Mytilus edulis: one gene and its partner. The protein of the gene in region 1 purifies or fractionates together with the protein of each later gene. This does not show direct contact. Links are inferred from orthologs where the notes say so. Each region holds a gene or a part of one and is shown on either strand. Other genes may lie near its edges.

Region 1 (10,967 bases):
TGTTTAAATATGTTAATGAGTAAGGCGTGGTGTATATGTTTTGTAACATCATTTAAAAGTGGCCTGGTGATTTTTTATTTAATAAAAAAACAGTGGGAGTGTCATTTTAGCCCGCTGCTTAGCTCGCGCACTAGAAAATCGATCCAGTGGGGAATATGACACATCAGACATGACAAAAAGTTATTTTTCTAAATTGAGCAACTCTGGCTACTCTAAATCAGGCACATACCATTTGATTTTTTTGGGGCCTGGGAATATTTAGAACAAAATATTCCGGCTCTTTTTTGTCATAAATTATGTTAACTCGTAATGTTTAAAAAAAAAAAAAGATTTTCCCCAACAAAACTGTATTGCAACAAAATCTTATTGCATTTATGAAATGCATTGGCAAAAATATTCCGGCTCAGGTATAAACATATCATTGACATATAATAAGTGGTTCCATGTACACTAAACTAGCTACACCTAAACTACAAATATGCAAACAAGAATGTGTCCATAGTACACAGATGCCCCACTCGCACTATCATTTTCTATGTTCAGTGGACCATGAAATTGGGGTCAAAACTCTAATTTAGCATTAAAATTAGAAAGATCATATCATAGTGAAAATGTGAACTAAGTTTCAAGTTCATTGGACTTTAATTTCATCAAAAACTACCTTGACCAAAATTTTTAACCTTGAGCGGGACAGAGGATGGATGGACAGACAGACTGACGGACTAATGAACAGACGAACAGATGCATAGACCAGAAAACATCATGCCCCTCTATTATCGTAGGTACATGTGTAGGTGGGGCATAAGAAAAATCAAAATGTCACTGAACCATCACTGAGAACGGGACCATGAAATCTTGCAAATGAGATGTGTTTATGCTTATACAATGTATAAAAGCATACAGTTACCAAAAAATAATTACCTACCATTTAATACTAATAGAGGTTTTAAACTCAGACCTAATCATATTTTTTTTACATGTAAATTATGCAAAATTGTCATGACTGAGGAGCCAAGTCGAATACATTGTAATCTCCATGGAAATTGAATGTATCAATCTCAGTGTGTGTGTGTGTACATACCTCATTACCAAGGTATTGTCTATGCTGAGGTAGTGTGTGTGGAAAGTCAAATATACCCTCTTCCTGCTCTTCAACCATGTCAACTGGCATCTGTAGATCAGCTCTCATATTTGCCTGCAGAAAAAAAATAGTTATTTATTAACTTACAATGATCAGAAAATGTGTTGCCACTATGCCACACTTAAAATATATGAAATTTACTGTGTCAAATATTGGATGGTGCTTTTACATTTTATAGCTACAAATGTAGTCTATTATTATTTCTCAATTAAAAAAAAATCAATTTTAACATTTAATTTTCTTCCTTTCTTATGATTTCTTTATGCCATATAGTAATGTAACCAAAGACACAAATATTTTTTAGGTTTACAATTGAAAAAAGTTTGCAAACATATAACCTATGCTCTAAAAATGCATTAGAGAAACAGATTCCATTACTGCCCATTGATCTTGTTTAATATATCATCATGCATTTCACACACATTGAATTCTGGATATTTTTTTATAGGATCTCAATCTCAATTGATGAAACCACTGATCATACCCTTATGGCTTTATAAGCATCCTGAATCTGTGAGAACTTGCGAGGACATGCTGTTGATGTCCCACTGTCTGGATGATACTGTTTAGCCAGTCGTAGATAGGCCTCTCGTAACTCCTCCTCCGTACAGTCAGGTGACAGGTTAAATAATGAATAACAGTCTTTGACATTGTTTTTTAGCTTATAACCAATCTGACAATTAATACTACTGGTGGAAATGAAGTGTTGTCCACAGACAAATACCTTTCTTTTCAAGCATAAAACTGAAGAAAAATTCTGATGCAATTTGTTTTTTCCTCTCAAATTTGCTTCTTTCTGTCCTGAACCTGACATGGAGAAGTAGGATAAAATGACATGTGATCCTCTGCTATTAACCCTAGATACATTTATCATTTTGTTTAAGGTAAATTTATCACAACAACTTAAAGACCTTGCTACCAGAGCAGTTGAAATAAGCCTGTTACAACAAAATGTAAATGTAGACATCACATTGACTGAAGTCCGTCTTTTACTACAGCGACAAGATCGTTGATATGTGCTGATGTTTGAGCGGGATAATGTATTTTTCTGTGGTAATAAATGAACATGTTGATGTAATATGTGTATCCTGTTTTGTAACATTTCCTAGGTGACTGTATCAGTGAATATCATGACTGTTCTCCTCAAAACAACAAGACCTGTGATGATGACTGTTGTTCTCAAATCATCTTTAGTGTTTACTTCTCTGTTTCTGTAAAATAATCATGATAATTATCATATTGTTTATTTTATTTACCCAGAAATAACCTAGAACAAATATGGTTAACATGGTTAAGTGTCTGTTTTTCTTTTAACATATTTTATTCAAATTCAGTATAATTTTATTCTTTTAATGTGCATTTACGTTTAATTCTTTTTTTCTATAACTATTGAATGCATTTAATACAAAATATTATTTATTATTTGCATTCTATAACCAATATTTTTTGTGTATCTTTCACGTTTCATTCCCGATCATGTGACAGTTTCTTATAAAATCAGTTGCGTGTATGAATAGCCTCCGAAAGCCAAATTGGATACGCATCCACTCATGTGGGTACATGCATCCACTGTCTTAAGTAAACTGTTGAGCTAGCCGGGTATAATTTCATGAGACAAATTATTAGTCCAAATAATTATGACATCTTCAAATGGTTTTTTTTTTTTTTTTAGCTTTGATCAGGTCTTACTGTATTGACTGTAGTACCAATAATTATGACATCTTGCAAGGCTAATGGCAATTTTTTTCTGAAAAACGATTCACAATAAAATGTTTGTAAAATGTTGCATGTGGCCAGTTTAAGATACCTAAACACACAAATTTCTATAGCAAGGATTTTGTGGAAGCAAGTTAACTCGTACCAACGGAAACTCGTACCATGTTAACTCGTACCAAAAAAGTTAACTCGTACCAACTTAAAGTCGTACCACTGGGAAGTCGTACCATTAAAAAAAATGTTTTGTGGTGTTTTTTCTTTCTAAAATTAATTAAAAAAAGTTGAATTACTGTAATTTTATACTGGATTTTAATGAAAACTTGGACAAAAATACGTTTTTTTTTTATTAAGATACTAATATAAATGGTCTTAATTACCTTATTACCCTGCTAATTAATATACGATATTCATTTGATGTAATAAATATGAAAAATATTGAATACGTAGATTCAGTAAAATTGATAATGAGAAACAAGAACATGATTGCAAATACATATAAAGATATTCTTATTCCAACTAAAGGGGCCATGAAGAGCAAAGTAATTTTTTACAATGATTTTATAATTGTTACAATAATGTTGACATATATATTATCAACGTCTTCAATAAACAATATCTATACTATATTGATAGTTTTCTTAGTTCTCAATATATATTATTTATTGATATATCATTATTCATAACATCTCATTTTATTTCAGACAGCCTACTACCAGAAGGACACTGTGTACAAGTTTGTCAAGAATCTCATGGCCCTATCATTTCTACCGGCAGAACACATCCCTACTACCTTTGAGGACATTGCCACCAAAGCAAAATCTGCCAGAACAAAAGAGCTTGACGCCTACGTAAAGAACACTTGGCTGTCATCAACCGTCTGGCTCGTACCATCATGGAGTATCTACATGAGATCTCGTGCAAAATATTATATATAAAAAAATTCATACTTTTAACATGTTGGTCATAAACAATTTACAACCTTTAAAACACACTAAATTAATTCTTTCAGTGAATAAAATTCCTTCGAGAAACAAAAGAAAAGTAGACAAATCTATTCAATGTAACTGATTTGGAATGATTAAAAATTAAATCCAATGGTTATCAGTATAAGTTTAAAAAAGAATGATTCAAGGGAGACAACAAATCAAATCTGCCAAGGTATTGTCTATATCTAATACACATGGAACATTAGCTACAGACTAGTCATTTTACTTTCAAATTATAAACATTTTACAGACTTAAGAGGTTTTGAGAAAAATAACAGTATACATCGGTCTCACTAATTAGCGACAACAAGAATTTTAGCGACAACAAGCGTCAACAAGCGACAAGAAGCGACAACAAGAATTATTTAAGCGACAAACAGCGACAAGAAACTATTTAGCTGTTATTTAGCGACAAGAAAACATTTTTTTTAATTAAAATTAATTATTGCAATAAATATTAAAAGAATATGCAAAAGAAAATAATTTTAGCGACAAGAAAGTTAAAATTGATAGAAAAAAATGAAACATTATTTACATAATATTTTATCATCTATTATGAATAACAGCCAGTATTACGTTTAATTATTGTATTATGAGATTACTTTTCCTTGTGTTTTAGAACATATTATTTATCTTATAATTTGTATTTTAAAACTCTTTTCGTGCAATATGTATTAAGCTCGCAAAATGAATTACTTGTGCATCATTGTCCTGAAAATATTGACACAAATTGTGAAATACAAAGAACTGAAACCAAACAGGAGGAAAAGAAAATTGAAATGTGAATGTTTTCATCTTTTTATTTGTTTATTGCCTCATTAAACGATATTTATCATGTTTATGCATATTGATTGAAGATGAAAGGAAATTAATGACAATCTTGAGTTTTCAACAGGTGTTCACTATTTACAATGATTGTATAGTCTGGCGCGTGTAATTGTATAGTCTGACGTGTGTACAAAGTTGAAGGTGTTAATTGGATGTTATTGTAGCAATAAAACAGGGGACACGCCACTCGTTAATCTCATTTGATGTTCCACATTGTGTGTACTGTTATTACCTTAAGGTGAAGCCACATCTAATGTTGTTCCTATCAAGAACAATGAATTATACTGTTAGAAAGGAAATAATATTTCATGTTTTTGTTTCAATAAATCCTTCAAAGGAAAGTTGACCTTTTTTTTGGGGGGTTTTTTCCGCAAAAGTACGTGATCTGTATATGGACCCCAAGGTAGAACCACGTCCTCGTCGTGGGCTCTGAAAACACGCTTAAATAATAAAGATGGCAAAGCGTGGCTGAGAGTTTTACAAATAAAGCATCGAATTGACATAACAAGAGTACACTTAGAGCATAGTATTAAGCAAATGAATCAAAATATTATATTCCATTATGCCCGCTCCATATGTATCTCCATTCGTTTATTCATACTTTGACTTTGATGAAAACAGATTCATACATTATCTTATACATATTCTTCATATTTAAAAATTAAAAAAAAGAAGCTCAATCTCTTTCTTTTTCACAAATGTTAAATTTCTTCATCTACCAATATACTAATATAAACTTCACAATCTCTTTCTTTCTCACAAATGTTTCATTTCTTCGTCTATCTGTAACAATGGAGACATTGAAGATGAACTTCACTTTCTTTTAAAATGTTCCTCCTATAAATATGTGAGAGATAACCTTATTAAAAAATTAAATAATGTTCTATTGAACAACAAATTTTCTTCCTTATCATATAACTTGCTTATATCAATTCTAAATAGTAATTCCCAAACAATATTAAAAATTGTTGTCAACTATTTGAATGAATGCTTGTTGCATGGATTAAAAGGTACTTGATTTTTGTAATCATGTATATGCTTCTCATTTATTTTTTATATATTTCTCTCATAATTATCCACTGTCACTCCTTCATTGTATATATGTTATTGTAGTTAGTCTTTAATTTGTTGCCATAACCATTTATTGTCAATGTGTTAGTGCTAATAAAGTTATCTTATCTTATCTATATAATAAAACATTTTAATTAGACATATCTGCTCGTATATTTAAAAAAAAAACATTACATACAAATTTCTTTATATCTAATAAAAAAAAAATGTTTTCTTGTCGCTAAATAGTTTTCTTGTCGCTTGTTGTCGCTAAAATAAATTTTGTTGTCGCTTCTTGTCGCTTGTTGACGCTTGTTGTCGCTTGTTGACGCTTGTTGTCGCTAATTAGTGAGACCCGCTTACATTCATAATTAAACACCAATCAAATGCATTTAAATAAGTTGGTACGAGTTAGCAGTGGTACGAGTTTACATTGGAACGAGTTATATTTTAGTGGTACGAGTTAACGTTGGTACGAGTTTACATTGGTACGGGTTAACTATAATTCGATTTTTGTTTATCCTTGTGCATATAACAGCTGTTTTCTAATCCTGCTTTTTTAGTTTTTGCTTAATAAAATCATAAATTATTTAGACATAAATAAATATACATCAGCAATATATCATATATCAACTACGTCACATTAATCAGCCTAATCTTCTTTGTTTTTCTTGAAATGTGTATGCTCGATGCTCCTCAGCATAGCCGTAAACTTTACCATTACATAAAAACAACATGACCCCAATCATGACCTATACATACTGGTATTGTAGGACGTAAACCAGTTTGACTATCGGCCTGGTATCAAACAGCATATTTATGCCTTTGCTCTCTATTGTATTTTTGTAGGGTACCAGATTGAAGAATGGCAGCGTTCATGGAAGAAGATGGTCTTGCATCTGAAGATTTATATGCTGTTTTAAACGTCGAGCGAAAGGTATTAATATAGCAATTTTATCATTTAAGAACTGTTTATGACAAATTATTTTGATTTCAAATTTAAAGCCACATATTTGACTAAACTGACCCTTTTGACATTGAATTACATCATGCACATTTTTCATTTATTTTTGTATGTAATTTCTGCATCTGGATAAGTCTGTCAAGTTTTAATGTCAAGAAATACGTATAAACTCATAAAACTTGCAACTATACATGGGATTAATAAAACGGCTTTCTATTCACCTTATTGCTTTTCCCAGCTGACATGAGAATCTGTCCGGCTTGAACTTTAGTCTATACACCTTATCGCTATCCCGTCTGACCCGGCCGCTTGAACTTTTGACGTCTTACAACAATCACTTTTCAACTGTGGCGTCAGATATTTTGTTATACGACGGTAAACAAAAATAATATGGCAGAGAATACGTTTCAACCAGGAACAGGTGTAGCTCCTGCTACCTTAGTCGAGTTGTCGATTTCTTGTCGGTATCAGTCATAAATGAGAGTCAACATCTTCCTAGGTTTATAGCTTTAATAATAAGGATGACTGATACCTGAAATGAATGTATACAGTATATTAGTAAATGATTAGTTAGGAACCAGTATGATATCCAGTAATTGCAGACAAATATAGATAAGGTGTACAACAATCACTTTTCCATTGTGGCGTCAGATATCTTGTATTATCACGTCAAAACTTTACGGGAACCTGTGTGATTTCTAGGATAAGAGACAAATAGAGATAAGGTGTATTCTAATGTCTGCATACACCTTATTGCTGTTTGGAAATCTGACTATCTGTCCAAGTTGAACTCTAAATATGTTCGGCTTGAGCTACATGTATTGACGTCATACAAAATCAATTTTCCATTGTGACGTCAGATATTTTAGTTTTGCAAGTTTTATGACTCTGAACTTTCTGTGTAAGACACAGATGTGAAGCCCACCCCTCCAGAAAACCGAGTTTCAGCCGATTTCAATTTTCCAAGACCGTATTTGTGCTCAAAATGCAACTTATACATCATTTGTACATGAGAAACATGAATATGGATAGCCTCAGGTTGACAGAACATGCATAGATTTTAACATAAGTATCAGGCCACCCTTAAAAAATTGTTTGTTTGGCATTGCCGACCCACATGTACACTATCAGCAGGTGGGTAGGTAGGTAGGGATTTTTTTTTTTTTTACATTTAAAAGCTTTATACATGTAAATCATGAAGTCTCTAGACCAATGTTGTCTAAAGCATTGCAGCATTGTTGTGTGTACATGCTGGTGGTTTCTTTGAACGGGGTCAACCGTCAATGTCACATTCTACATCATATGGATAATTTCATGTAAGACAGTCAGTTTTGTTGGCAGAGTTAACCAAAGGACCCAGAAAAAAACACAGAACTGAGGCAGGAAACTGACAAATTAACCATATAAAATGTACAATGTATGACGTGAAAATTGAACTTTTATTGTGGGACTGCCAATTGAACAGAGGCCTGATGTCACATCTTGTGGTCACAGTTTGGTAAAATTACCATAAGTTAAATGGCTCAACCACTACGGCTCCTTGTACAAATGGACAAAGATTTAAAACTTTTATTGTTTGCTTTGGTTTTATAAACATCACTTTCTACACCGTATGTAATTTCATGGCAGTCAGTTTTGTTGGCATACTATTAAACCGTAGTACTTGAAGGAAAACGGCGGCAACCTGCGGGAAGAAACTGACTAACCTTATCACATATGACATGAAAATCAAACCTTAATTTTGCAACTGCCCAACTAGGGCTCAAACCAATACCTAGAGGCTAGTAATCATACATGAAAGGTGTGACGAACTACCATACAAACACGCCTACTGCCCCTGATAAGTTTTGAGGATATAGGATCTGTACCAAATAAGGATAGCAAAATATTAAAAATTTGGAAGGTTGGCACAAATAGACATGGTGTTTATACTAATATTATCCATTAGTGCAAGGTTTTTCAGGGCTATAGGTTTAAAATGTATGATAAATTCAAAATGGAAATATGCAGCAGGACAGACAATTTTTGCAGATAAATAAATTATGGGTTGTAATGCTTGTTTGATTAACAGAAATCTGGACATGCATTACATGAATACAGATAAATTAATGAGCCCTTAGAATTGTGGAAAAGGAAGGGATTTTATTCATCACTAGTACACTAGATACATTTATAAATATGTTTCTGTCAGTATCTTTTATGTTTTAAGAATTATTTTATTCATGTTAAGAAGAAAGGCAAGAAAAGGGGGAAGTACTTCAATTGACACAAGATGCTAGTCTTTAAAATATGTATGTTTTGTACCAGGCTAGCATCTACTGGTACAAAACTACTATAAACCTGTAAATCTGGGACCGTTTTGGTCTATGGGCTTTAGTGCTTACAGCCATAATTATCTTGAATGCATCATTGTGGTTCTGACTATAGTAGATACTTTGTTCTCTGGTTCAAGGGAAAATTTGTCAATGATACATTTCAAATATTTAATAAGTTCAACAAATGTAAGAGCCACGCATATTTGTTCTGTGATGTCCCGGAGAAAAACTTCTATCTCATGAAGCGACAAAGTCGAGCAGAAATCATCTGTTTCTGCTTTTAGCCTTTACAAAAGATAAAACTTGAGTCCTCTACAAAGTCTCTCAGAACGTTTCTTTCAAAGAATAGCTGAACATTTGATTTTTGATAAAATCCATCTCCCTTAACCAATGCATTGATGCTTTCCCCTGCCGGCCTCTTTGACATTACTTTTGGCAAACTTTTTCTATTCCATGTCATTTAAATGTTTGCTCCCAATAAGGCAAGCGCTTTTAAGATCGTGATTTGAAAAAAGTAAAGCCAGGAACAAACTCGGCGGATACAATCAAATTCCGGCACAATTTCGATTTTTTTTTAAATAAAAAAAAATAAATTTCTGAAACGCAAATAAAATTATTTGGGCGGCAAGTTTTTCAGTGGGTCGGGCGGCAATGCCAAACAAATGAAATTTTATTTTAGGCCTCATAAAGTGGACTTCTAAAAGAATGGAACGCCATTGGAGCCAAATAACGTTGTTTTGGGTATGCCTGCCATATGACAGTCACGGCATGGTAAGGGTTAAGTTAACCATGTTAACCAGAAGTTTGTTTATATTTCAGGCTAGCACAGATGAAATCAATACAGCGTTTCGTAGATACAGTAAAATCTTCCACCCAGACAAACATTTAGATGATAAAAAAAAGAAGCATGCAGAAAACATGTTCAATAAAATCAAGAAAGCTCATGAAGGTAAACGATAAAATAAAGATGAATTTTCAAAAGCTCATTTATATATGCATCATGTACATGTAGCATTGTATGGAGATGAGTGACTCAAAGCAGGAAAAATACATTCAAAATTGGGTATTACCTAAAGAGACAAATTAAGAATTTTACAAACAATTTCACTGTACTTTACACCCTCCCATAATTGGAGTTTCCAAGTTCACTCCCTGGGTTCCATGACGTATATTTAATATTTTTTGGTATTCAGACCATATATCTCAACATGTCATGTATGTGCTCTAAGGTTAATTTCTCAAACATGTCTTAATTATTTCACTTATATTCAAATGGAAATCTCTTTTATTTGCATGTAGATGACATGACAACTTGCATTGATGAGAATATATGCACTGTATACCTAATTATTATTATGAGATGTAACAGATTTATAAGTGACAAAGATTGCTTGGGCATTTGTTAGGTAATAGCGTCAATGTCATGTAAATTGTCATAAAATTGCTCTTACCATATTGGAATCTCTGAACAGCAAACAGAATTAAATCTGAATCAACAAAAACAAACTAGACATGCTAGATAAGTTGTAGAATGTCTAAAATTAAAATAAACTAGTATGTGCCTGTAAATGAAGAAAAAAGTTGGGAGTTAAGAAAACTATTTTAATTATTAGAAGTTTTGGAACTAGTTGATGAGAACATTATTATATTATATTTTAGTTTTAACTGACCCAAACAAAAGACCAGTGTATGACCAATTTGGAATGAAAGGTTTAGAAATAGAAGGCATGGAGGTATGTATGTTTGTATCAAGGGTCCGGAAACGGTCATATTTGACAGTCTTGACCTTTACTGAAAGTGTTTGTCCTAAACGTGGAATTGGGATTTAGGACATATTTTATTTTTTAACAGAAATAATTTCGGTCATTTCGTTGTGATCGAGTTTCTAAATCGCCATTTTGAACTTTAGTTTTGTTATCCCTTTCCTGTAATAAAACTGCCACTCAAGTATAGAGTGATAATCATGA
Region 2 (10,587 bases), on another chromosome or scaffold:
GTTTGGTTCATTTTGTAAATGTTTATTCAGTTATGATGAGGTTTGAAGAAAAACCTTGTTTGTTTGATGGTATAAGCATTGATATTACAGATTATTTTGTTCATTTTGAGACAGTTTCTCTTTGGAATCAGTGGAATGAATTTGAGATGGCATGTCAGTTGATAATGAATTTGAGAGGTGATGCTCAAACTATCTTACGTTTCTTAAAGAGGCCACAGTTATACGATTATGACTGCTTGAAAAATGTTCTCATTCAGAGGTTCAATCCTAAGGAGAGGGTGGCATATTTTAAATTTCAACTGCGAGTTTGTAGTTTGAAGGAAAATGAAACAATTTCAGAATTTGGTCAGCGTTTCAAGATACTTGCTCATAAGGCTTATCCTGATAATTTTTCAGATTTGGATTCATATTTTACTGACTTATTTACATCATGTTTGAATATTGAGATGGCTAAATTTGTCACTTTTAAGCATCCTCATAGTTTAGATGAGGCTTTATCACTAGCTATTGAATATGAAGCTGTTCATTTTTCTGGTGATCATGAGATTATTGATGAGACAGAAAGTTTAGATTGTTGTAAAACAGTTCATAACAGTTTTGAAATTTTAATTAATATTTTGAGAAGGCGATTGAAATCACGTAGGAAACATAAACCTAAGAGATGTTTTAAATGTCACCAGTCAGGTCATGTCAGGTCTAAGTGTCCAAATATGTCTATCAAAGTTCATGCTAGAGATGAAAGGTCTGCAGATAGTCAAGTAAAGCTCTCAGAAATAGGCGGGATGTTGAGGAATGATCATTGTAGTTCAGATTGTGTTACCTTTGTTTAATATGGTTGTTTTTACATTGTGTTGTAAATATATAGTTATACTTTATTTTTATGTCAATGTACTCATAGGTGTCATGCGTCTCAGTTTTGACTGTTTGGGTTTTTTTCAAAGGGAGGGATGGCGCACATCCCAACTTGTTTTATTTTTCATTTTCAATACTGGCTTGAATTATGGCTGATCCTCTGTGTAGTTTGAAGTGTAGACTGTTAGCTAGTATTAAGTAGGAATTGGTTTGTTTTATGAGTTGTTGCTCGTTTGTCTGGATTGTAATCTCTAGCCAATTATTTATTATTTGGAGAGTTTACAGGAGACCGACTTCTTGACTTTTGTCATGGCAGAAACCAATAGAGTGAAAGTTAAGCTTAAAGTTAGGAACACTTCTAGCCTATACAGATGGATCTGATCCATTATTTGGTACCATGTAAAGTTTGGGCATCGTTTAACTTTATTTTGAGAACCTTGCATACAGATGGACCCGATCCATCTCCGGTGGCACAACGTCTGTGTTACCGTTATCAACAACGTTGGAATGCAGTAAAAGAACCCGGTGGTACACGTCAAATGTGCCACTGTGAGATCAACATTGGTGGACATTGCCTGGTATAACTTTTCATGTTGGATTTCAACCGTTAGCTGTGCCTTATCCTATATGCCGTTCCACTGATTCTGAAGCCTACTTACAAAGAAGACCTCAAGTTGCGTCCGTTATCCTTTGAAACTGATGCCGATGTTTGTTTGTGTATGTGTTAAACAGTGACATTTATCTAAAAGTGATAGTTTTACATTTGCTTGAAAGACATTTTATCTGATGAACGTTGATGGACTTTTGTTAAATTTCACCGTCAAATGTTATTTCATATACATTTGTTTTCGAAGGGAGGAGGAGGGTATCAGACTGGTGTTGCGGTCTCCTTGAACAGTCTCGTGATTCAACTTAAACTGATGTATTTTGGATTTAATGTTTGATCCTGACATTTGGATTTTGCGTACATATTGATGCAGATACATGAATTTGATAGACATTTCAGTTTGCAGACTTTAATTGATGAAATTTTTCGTTTGTCTTAGGGGGGAGGAATGTAGCAGACAGAGTTATTAGTTAATTTTTAGCTCCCTTTGGTAAAACTCTAAATTTCATATTTGATGTATTTCATTGTTAATTAATTTACATGAAGCTTATTGAGGATATATTTGTTAAATTACATAGCTTTTGCTATTTTAATTCATTGGTTAAAGATATTTATTTATATTGTAAAGTTTAATATTTGCATCGTTGCAAATTCTTTGGTTACCTTCTGTGAGAAATTTATATATTTTATATAAGTACTTTTAGATTCTTATTTTGAATCCTCTGAGGACTGACATTCAGTCCTACCAAGGAAAGCCAGGCTTTCCAACCAGAGTTTAGGTTAGTGCATCTGCTACATGCCTCCTTAGTATGATAATGTGAAATCATAATGAATGCTCCATTTCTACACTTTTGGCTTTACATAATAAAAGTTGTACTTTGTTGATTAAATTATATATTGTTTTCAGTTTTTGGTTTTCATTTACTTAGATATATTATAGCGCATCACTTTTGGCATCAGTCGTTTTCCGCACACATCAGTTTACAAACTAGAATTAGCTGTGGTCCGCATCCCCGAATCTTAGGCAGAATTGTTCCTGCTACACTTTACAACTATTTACACCACTGGGTCTATGCCACTGCTCAGAGGCGGATCCAGGGGGTGGTCACCCGGTGCCGGTGACCACCCCCTGGGTTTGCAAAAATGGTGCACCATGTACCAAAAAGTGGTGCACCTTGAACATTTTGAAAAATAAATTCGTCGATCAAATCAATTTGTCTATCGTAATCACCAGTCATAAAGTTGTCATTACTTACCTTAAGGCTAAATACATGTACTTTGACAGGTATGTTTATACAATGAACATGTAATCAACAATCGCTAATTATTTGATCGATTTCTTTGATGTTAATTAAGGTGTAAAAATGAAGAGACAGTCCTCAATCTTAGATGTTTTTAGCAGATAATTTATACTTTTTTACATTACGTTTATCTAAATTTTTAAAGTTTGTATAATAACTTTTCTCGACCAATAATATTTTTTTACTGTGATGCCAAAATTCAAAAATAATTTTAAAGTTTTAAAGTCACATAAATATTTTTGCGCCTGTCCCAAGTCAGGAGCCTCTGGCCTTTGTTAGTCTTGTATTATTTTAATTTTAGTTTCTTGTGTACAATTTGGAAATTAGTATGGCGTCCATTATCACTGAACTAGTATATATTTGTTTAGGGGCCAGTTGAAGGACGCCTCCGGGTGCGGGAATTTCTCGCTACATTGAAGACCTGTTGGTGACCTTCTGCTGTTGTTTTTTTCTATGGTCGGGTTGTTGTCTCTTTGGCACATTCCCCATTTCCATTCTCAATTTTATTTTTTATATATTGAATGAATACCCCCGTTCCATCATCTGTTTGTCTAAAAGTTTCGTTCATTCAAATTTTTTAGTAACTTATACCCTCTTTCCTTCAGGAAACGCCACAAATCAGCCCCTCTGAAGTACCAACGACTTGTAATGGACCTAGCATTGATACGAATAAGAGTGATCAGATTAAAGAAACAACCCCCGACTTACATACATGTATAAGTTCAGTGAGTGCTGGTGGACGTTTCGTCCCCGAGGGTATCACCAGCCCAGTAGTAAGCACTTAGGTGTTGACAAGAATATCAATTATATGGTCATTTTTATAAATTTCGTGTTTACGCGTATGGCTTATCATAAGCCTGGTACCTTTGATAACTCTTTGTCCTTCATATAAATGGGGATATATACGATGCTACATCAAAAGTAGTGTGTAGATAGTGTTGTTGCACTTTTATATTTTAGATTTCAAAATTACATATAAGTAAGTAAGTAAGTAAGTAAGTAACTATAAATAAGAGTATATAGAAGAACCAGGCCTGTCCTTGATCAAAACGTAAACTTCGTTAAGTTTGTTTTATTTCATAATGCTGATATATACTAAGAAAAGAACAATCATGCTCCTCAGATGAATGGTCGGTGCTCTGCTGGAATTTATCAGTTTTAAAAACCTGAGACACATTTTTGAATCATGTGATACAACAAACATATCATTTAGTAAAACTGACGACGCTAATCATATAAGGGAGCAACCGTTTAACTTTAAAGGGGGTATGGTTTTTTGTCTGAGTCAGAAATATTTCCAAAACCTATCGATCATTTTTTTTTCAATATTTAACACCATAAGGTATAGCCGGGAAACTTGGAATAGAATGAAATTCAAAACAGTGTAGCTGTGGCCATTGATTGACACATTAAAATCATCCATTGACTGGGACAATTTACGTGAACGTTTGTCTGTAACGACCACTGTTCACGACGTACCTACGATAGACATTTAAACTGTGGGGTCACCAAAGGTTTCTTAACGCCTTTAATTATAAAATAATTCGAAAAATTAATCAGGAATAACCTTTGTGTTTTGATTTATATAATTGATAGAAATCAAAATATCGTGTTATTTCTGATTAATTTTTCGAATTACTTTATTTAGGTGTTGAGAACCTTTGGTGACCCCATAGTTTAAGTGTCTTTAAAAAGTACATAGTGAGCATTGGTCGTTACATACAAACGTTCACCTAAATTGTCCCAGTCAATGGATGATTTTAATGTGTCAATCAATGGCCACAGCTACACTGTTTTGAATTTCATTCTATTTTGTTTGTCATCTGCTTGACCAGAATACTTTTTTCGTCAAATTGTGGATCAGAGTAATCAGTGGGGAAAATATAACACACCATCGAAGTTAATTGACTAGTCTCCTGTCCAATAAGAAGGCACTCGGGCTAAAGTTACATGGAATTGATGTAACAATAATAATGATTTAATGTAACAACAACGCAATTTAATCGTAGGCATAATTATTATTGTTACATTCGTAATTAATCAGTTCCTTGCCCAACCCTGCATTCCGACAATAAGTCCCCAATGTAACATTTTTTTTTATTATTGTAAAATTTCAATATAATCGTAGCCAGCTGTGCCTAATAAAAACAGTTTTATTTTCTTTAGTATTCTTTCTAAAATTGTCAGTTATAAACAGACAGACTGAAATGATTTTACCAGCTCTTTTTGAAATTCTTCTTTGTCATCTCACTTTTCTAATAAACTTCACTTCAATATGTATTTGCAGAGACATATATGTCTCTGATATTTGAAAATGACAAAAGTATGACTATTAAATATGACAACCATAAAGTTTCCATATATTAATTAGACTGTGGCGTGGCACTTGATGATTTTCTTCTCTCAGTCAAAACTGACGTGTTGTCTCATGGCCTATAAAATTGAGAATGGAAATGGGGAATGTGTCAAAGAGACAGCAACCCGACCATAGAACAAACAACAGTAGAAGGTCACCAACAGGTCTATAATGCAGCGAGAAATTCTCACACACGCAGGCGTCCTATATATATATACACATTGGGAAAAAGATCTTTTAAGTAATATTACGTTGGTAAACAGAAAAATAAGATATAATACATTGATTCATTAGTTTAATTAAGCTTTGGGTTTATTTCTGTGTTTTTTTCCCTTCATTTGTTGATACTGGTATCAGTATGAAACTGTACATTATGGTGCTTTACAATCAAATTTTTTTGTTTGGGTTTAAGTTTTATCTGTTACTATTCAGATTCGGCACAAACTTACAATGTAAATCATCTGCTGAGTACAAAAGTCGTTGATGAAGGTTACCGGAAGTCAAATTGAAGAGCCGGTGTCCTACTGATTAGCAATGTGGAGGACAACATCTAGAGTGCCCCCCAAAATCAAGGTTAGTAAGTGAACTGAGGATGCCAAATATCTTCTTTTCTAAGGATTCCCTTTTCAGCTGATTAAAATCAGTACTGGACAACATGTCATGCCAAATTATCTGTCATTAAAGTCTTAACTTAAGTGCCATGGTGCCATTGGACACTTCTATGCTATGGGATACCTAAATAATGAAGAGGGTCTCATTGGGGGGGTTCCGATCCCGGATATTGCTTACTGTTTTGTCAGATTCCCGTATCCCGCTTACACTATGTACGCATTCAATTCTCATTTTTTGTAATTTCCTGTGTCCCGCTAGACTTCATCTCCCGTTTTCATGGCACAATAAATTGACTTTCACGTGTCACGTTTACAAACAATCGGCTATCCGGCATCACACTTAGACCCCAATGAGACCCACAAAGAATGAACACACAGTCTCACTGTAACAAATTCTCAGTTTGTATATTGACTTTTCCCCTGTGTTCATTGGTTTAATTACCAGTATCCTACCTAGTCTATAGTCGATCCTACCTAGTTGATTGTCGGTCATTTTGTTGGTTCGTTCAGACTTTGTTATTGTAATTATCACATGGGAAAACCAAGCAATCATGTCACTATGTCCCACTAGCGGCAGCGTAAAAAAATAGTGCAGAAGAGGTTTTTTCTACTCTTCTAAATATAAAAACATTTCTTAAGATACGTTTTCACTGTTATTCTTAATTATTGCTAAAAATGCCAATTTTCTTAATGCTGTTTCAAACCTGACTTCCAAATGCCTTAAAACATTTCAGAACTTCAAAAAATCCCACTTACGGGCTCCATCGCTTTTGTGTACATTCCATTCAGCTTCATCAATCTTAGTGGCAGACAAAACAGGCCAAGGAAATGGTATTTTTAAGAAATTCAAAATGACAGGCACCTTACGTCTTACACAATTTTAACTCTAAAAAAACCAATCCAAAATGAAAGGAAAACTTAGGGAAAAAATATGTTCATGCCATAATTTTGTTCAGGAATATAGAGTAGGTTATTAAAAAACAATATGTATATACATATATTTTTCATAAAAAAAAAATCAATCAATATATAAAGATCAATATACTGACCATCATGACCATAGGTAAATATTCATATAAAATTCCATTGATGTCAAAATTCATGGCTAAAAATGTTTTTTTTTATTGAATAAACCCCCCAATTTATTGCAAACTATTTCAAAGCAATATCACTCCAACAAATAATATAATTGCCTCAGTCTTTAAAAAAATCACCTAATTGATAATAAACCATTTGATTGGGTAGAATGAATTCAATGCATCACAAGGTTTTGACACCATTGGTATTTGAATGTAAACAAACAGGCCCTTTACAGGGTCAGCATCTTTAGTATGGCATACATAGTACATTCAGTGACTGAGAAAAATTGATGAGTAACCCTGCTTGTCAATACATTTGTACATGGTAATAATAAAACAAAGCTCAGTCTACAGGGAAAAAAAAAGAAAAAATGTGCCTAGATGAACGACTTATCACCATTTCAGGATATAATCTGAATAATCAGTCATCATGTTGGTAAGGACTTAGTAATTGTACTTATCACACCGAAAAATTCTGCATTCTAAGCTAATACCAGCATACAAAATTAGTGCAGAATATGTTTTTTAATATCTTCTAATATAAAAAAAAGAAGATGTGGTATGATTGCCAATGAGACAACTATCCACAAAAGACCAAAATGACACAGACATTAACAACTATAGGTCACTGTACGGCCTTCAACAATGAGCAAAGCCCATACCGCATAAACATGCCGAATAAAACAACCATTCTTTAGATACGTTTTCATTGTTATCATGGTTATTCTTAAGCATATTAAGAATTATACAGAAATGCAGATTTTCTAATGGCCATTTCAAACCTGACTTCAAATGCCTATAAACATTTTAGAAATTCAGAAAATCCCTCTTCCATGTCTGTAGCCTCCAGCTTTGTAAACATTCCATTAAGTGTCAATCAATCTTAATGGCAGACCAAACAGACCAAGCAAATTGTATTTTTAAGAATTTCAAAATGACAAGCACCGTCTTTACATGATTTTCCTGCTTGTAACATTTTAATCTGGATAACATTTTAAGACATATGAAAAAGATTTATTTCATTCTTTGTTTTGTTATAGATTCATGGAAGAAGATCTACAAGTACAAAGCCGCCAGTGGTTCCTCAGCCTCCTCTATCAACACCATTTGAAGCTAACCAACAACAACAACCACCGCCACCACCACCAAAGTATAATTTGTCTATCAGCAGGATAATACCTGTAAAACAAACTCATCTACAAATATCTTTTATAAAAATATTAAGTGTTGCTGTCCACATGGATAGATATAGTTGAAATTGATTGCCTATTTAAAAAACTATTTTACTTCAAACTTTAATAAAAGATAAATATTGAATTTACTAGACATGTTTTTATACAAGTAGCGATTAAACTACATGTTTACTCAACCAAGTGTAATTTGCATATATATGTAGGACTCTAAAGTGCGATGGGGACGCTAAAGTAGGATGGTCACGCTAAAGTGCGATGGTCTATGCTAAAGTACGATGCTTCCATACGCTAAAGTGCGATGGTCCGGGAAAATATAGACGTACAAAACGTAGTCGGATTATGACGTTAACAGTCGTTTATACAAACTAAAAATGAACATGACGGAAGATGAAATAAATAATGGAAGCGAACAGATGCATATTAATGTTTTCGTTTATACAAATCCTTGGTTTACGTTAAAATATTGTCGATTTTATTGCAGAGTATAAACGTCGGTAAAATAAAGGTACACGTTTGCAAGCGTAAATCATAACTTGTCCATTAAAACTTCAGTGTGTACATTGTATTAAAACATAACACTCGCTACGAAAAAGTGGAAAGCTCGAACAACAACCCCCTTCTGTCGTATTTAAATCAAAGCTTGTACAAATAAATTTAATTTATTCCGACAATGACCGAATTTTGTATTTGCAACTGACAAGGGGATGTTCACATTAATAGGCTGCGTAAACGGCAAGCTACACCAATTATTTAATACGCCCCTCGTCCTGAACATGCATTAAATATTTGTCACTGGACGTTAAGCAACCAACAACCAATCCAATACGCCCGAATTGTTAAAAAATCATTTAAATGAAATATAGTATTTTGTGACACCTAAATAACCTTTTTAGCAATGATAACTAGGTCAGTCTTCTAAATTCAGAAACAGTCACATAAGACTACCGGTAAAGTAAAAGCCTATCGCATTATATGTTAAATCATTGCAAACTAGATTTTGCAAAAAGACTTGTTTTTGACATTAGTGCCCTTGAACCTTTCTCATTTGTTCCATCGCGCTTTAGCGTGCCATACCATCGTACTTTAGCCAACAAACAAACATCGCCCTTTAGCGTGAGACACCGTCGTACTTTAGCGTAGACCATCGCACTTTAGCGTGACCATCGCACTTTAGAGTACCATCGCACTTTAGAGTCCTACATATATATATGATATATATACATTTCATGTATAATACATATAGAATATATAAAATAGAAGGAAAATTAATTCACCAGAAAGATTTATAAATACTGAAATATGAAATTGATACAAAAGATACAACTTTGATGCATATCATGTATACATAAACTTCTGATGCACCCATGGCACAATTTAAGCAATTCTGAAAGCACGCTATGCTTAAAACTTATTAGTGCAAGGGAACTGAAATTCATTTAACAGAACTAAGTTGACACCATATATACATGCCATATTACATACTCCCAATTGCAAGGAATTGAGTACTTTTACATATAAATATAAATGTACATTAATAATTGTAAATTGTTTTCCAGGAAAGGTGGTGGTTTCTTCAAGTTTCTTGGGTTGACAACCTTAGCAGCTGGTGGAGTGGTAGGGTATGCCTGGTATGATTCTAACTTCAGGAAACAGATAGAAGACAATGTACCATACAGTAAAGATGCTTTTGATGCTCTGTTTCAGTTAATACCAACTTCTGAAACTATTAAGTAAGATAAAAATGGATCTATCAATCATATAAGAAAATAATTATTAGATATTAGCGCAAATATTTTAGCAGATTATGTTAATTCCAATATACATGATAAACCACAGACACAATGTCGGTTTCTTACTAGTTGTCTTAAAATTTATTTCCTTCCGCTGATACACACATTTTTGGCTGTTTACCCACAACATTTCCATCTCATGGTCTGTTTACAATTTAAGGAGCTAGAGTTACTTCCCTTAACCATTCATTTTTTACAAGAGATTGACAACTATATATATGTTCATGTATATCAATAGGGCAGTATATCAATGTGTTAATAACTTGTAAGCACAGCTCCTCTTTAATGGCTAGACTAATTTTGATGAAACTTTACACAGTTGAACAACACTACCAGAGGATATGCATAAAAGAATATTAAGTAAATACAAACAGAATTTTAGATATAGCTGTAGTAAAAATAAATGGTGTAATTTACTTGAAAAGTAATTGTAAATGAATTTGAAATTACTAAAATGATCAATGCACCATAAAAGTTGATCTATATCAACAACTACTTATTTAAAGTTTGATTTATTAACACAATAGATAAAACATACACAAACTGATTTCTTTTCCAGGAGCACAGATAGATCAGGTCCTCTTATACCAAATATTTCTCCTAAACCTGAAGAAGAGAGTAAAATGAGAAGGAAAGTTCCACAAACTCAGGTATGTAGGGTTTGAGAATGATATTTGGATTTATAAATTCCATATGGCAAATGTATGGCATGACAGTAATAATTAAAGGTTCTATGCGTCAAAGGTCAAGTTGAACTAAGTAATTTTTTGCCATATACTGTGGATTCATTTATTTTTG

What was found. The genes of interacting proteins can lie anywhere in the genome.
Region 2: the proteins of dnaJ homolog subfamily C member 11-like (region 1) and MICOS complex subunit MIC60-like purify together in Homo sapiens (co-immunoprecipitation; 3 studies listed by BioGRID and IntAct, with this or other methods). This does not show direct contact. The link is inferred for Mytilus edulis from reciprocal best matches to the Homo sapiens genes DNAJC11 and IMMT.

Annotation. Positions count from the first base shown.
Region 1 is NC_092356.1:64,899,631-64,910,597, forward strand, and holds the start of dnaJ homolog subfamily C member 11-like, read left to right. Parts: upstream 1-6,543; 5' UTR 6,544-6,586; coding exon 6,587-6,658; intron 6,659-9,819; coding exon 9,820-9,949; intron 9,950-10,659; coding exon 10,660-10,733; intron 10,734-10,967. Other genes in the region: dnaJ homolog subfamily C member 28-like, read right to left, coding at 1,082-1,195, 1,626-2,243.
Region 2 is NC_092347.1:95,491,970-95,502,556, reverse strand, and holds the start of MICOS complex subunit MIC60-like, read left to right. Parts: upstream 1-5,551; 5' UTR 5,552-5,650; coding exon 5,651-5,689; intron 5,690-7,846; coding exon 7,847-7,956; intron 7,957-9,555; coding exon 9,556-9,729; intron 9,730-10,348; coding exon 10,349-10,439; intron 10,440-10,587. UniProt on the Homo sapiens protein: Component of the MICOS complex, a large protein complex of the mitochondrial inner membrane that plays crucial roles in the maintenance of crista junctions, inner membrane architecture, and formation of contact sites to the outer membrane.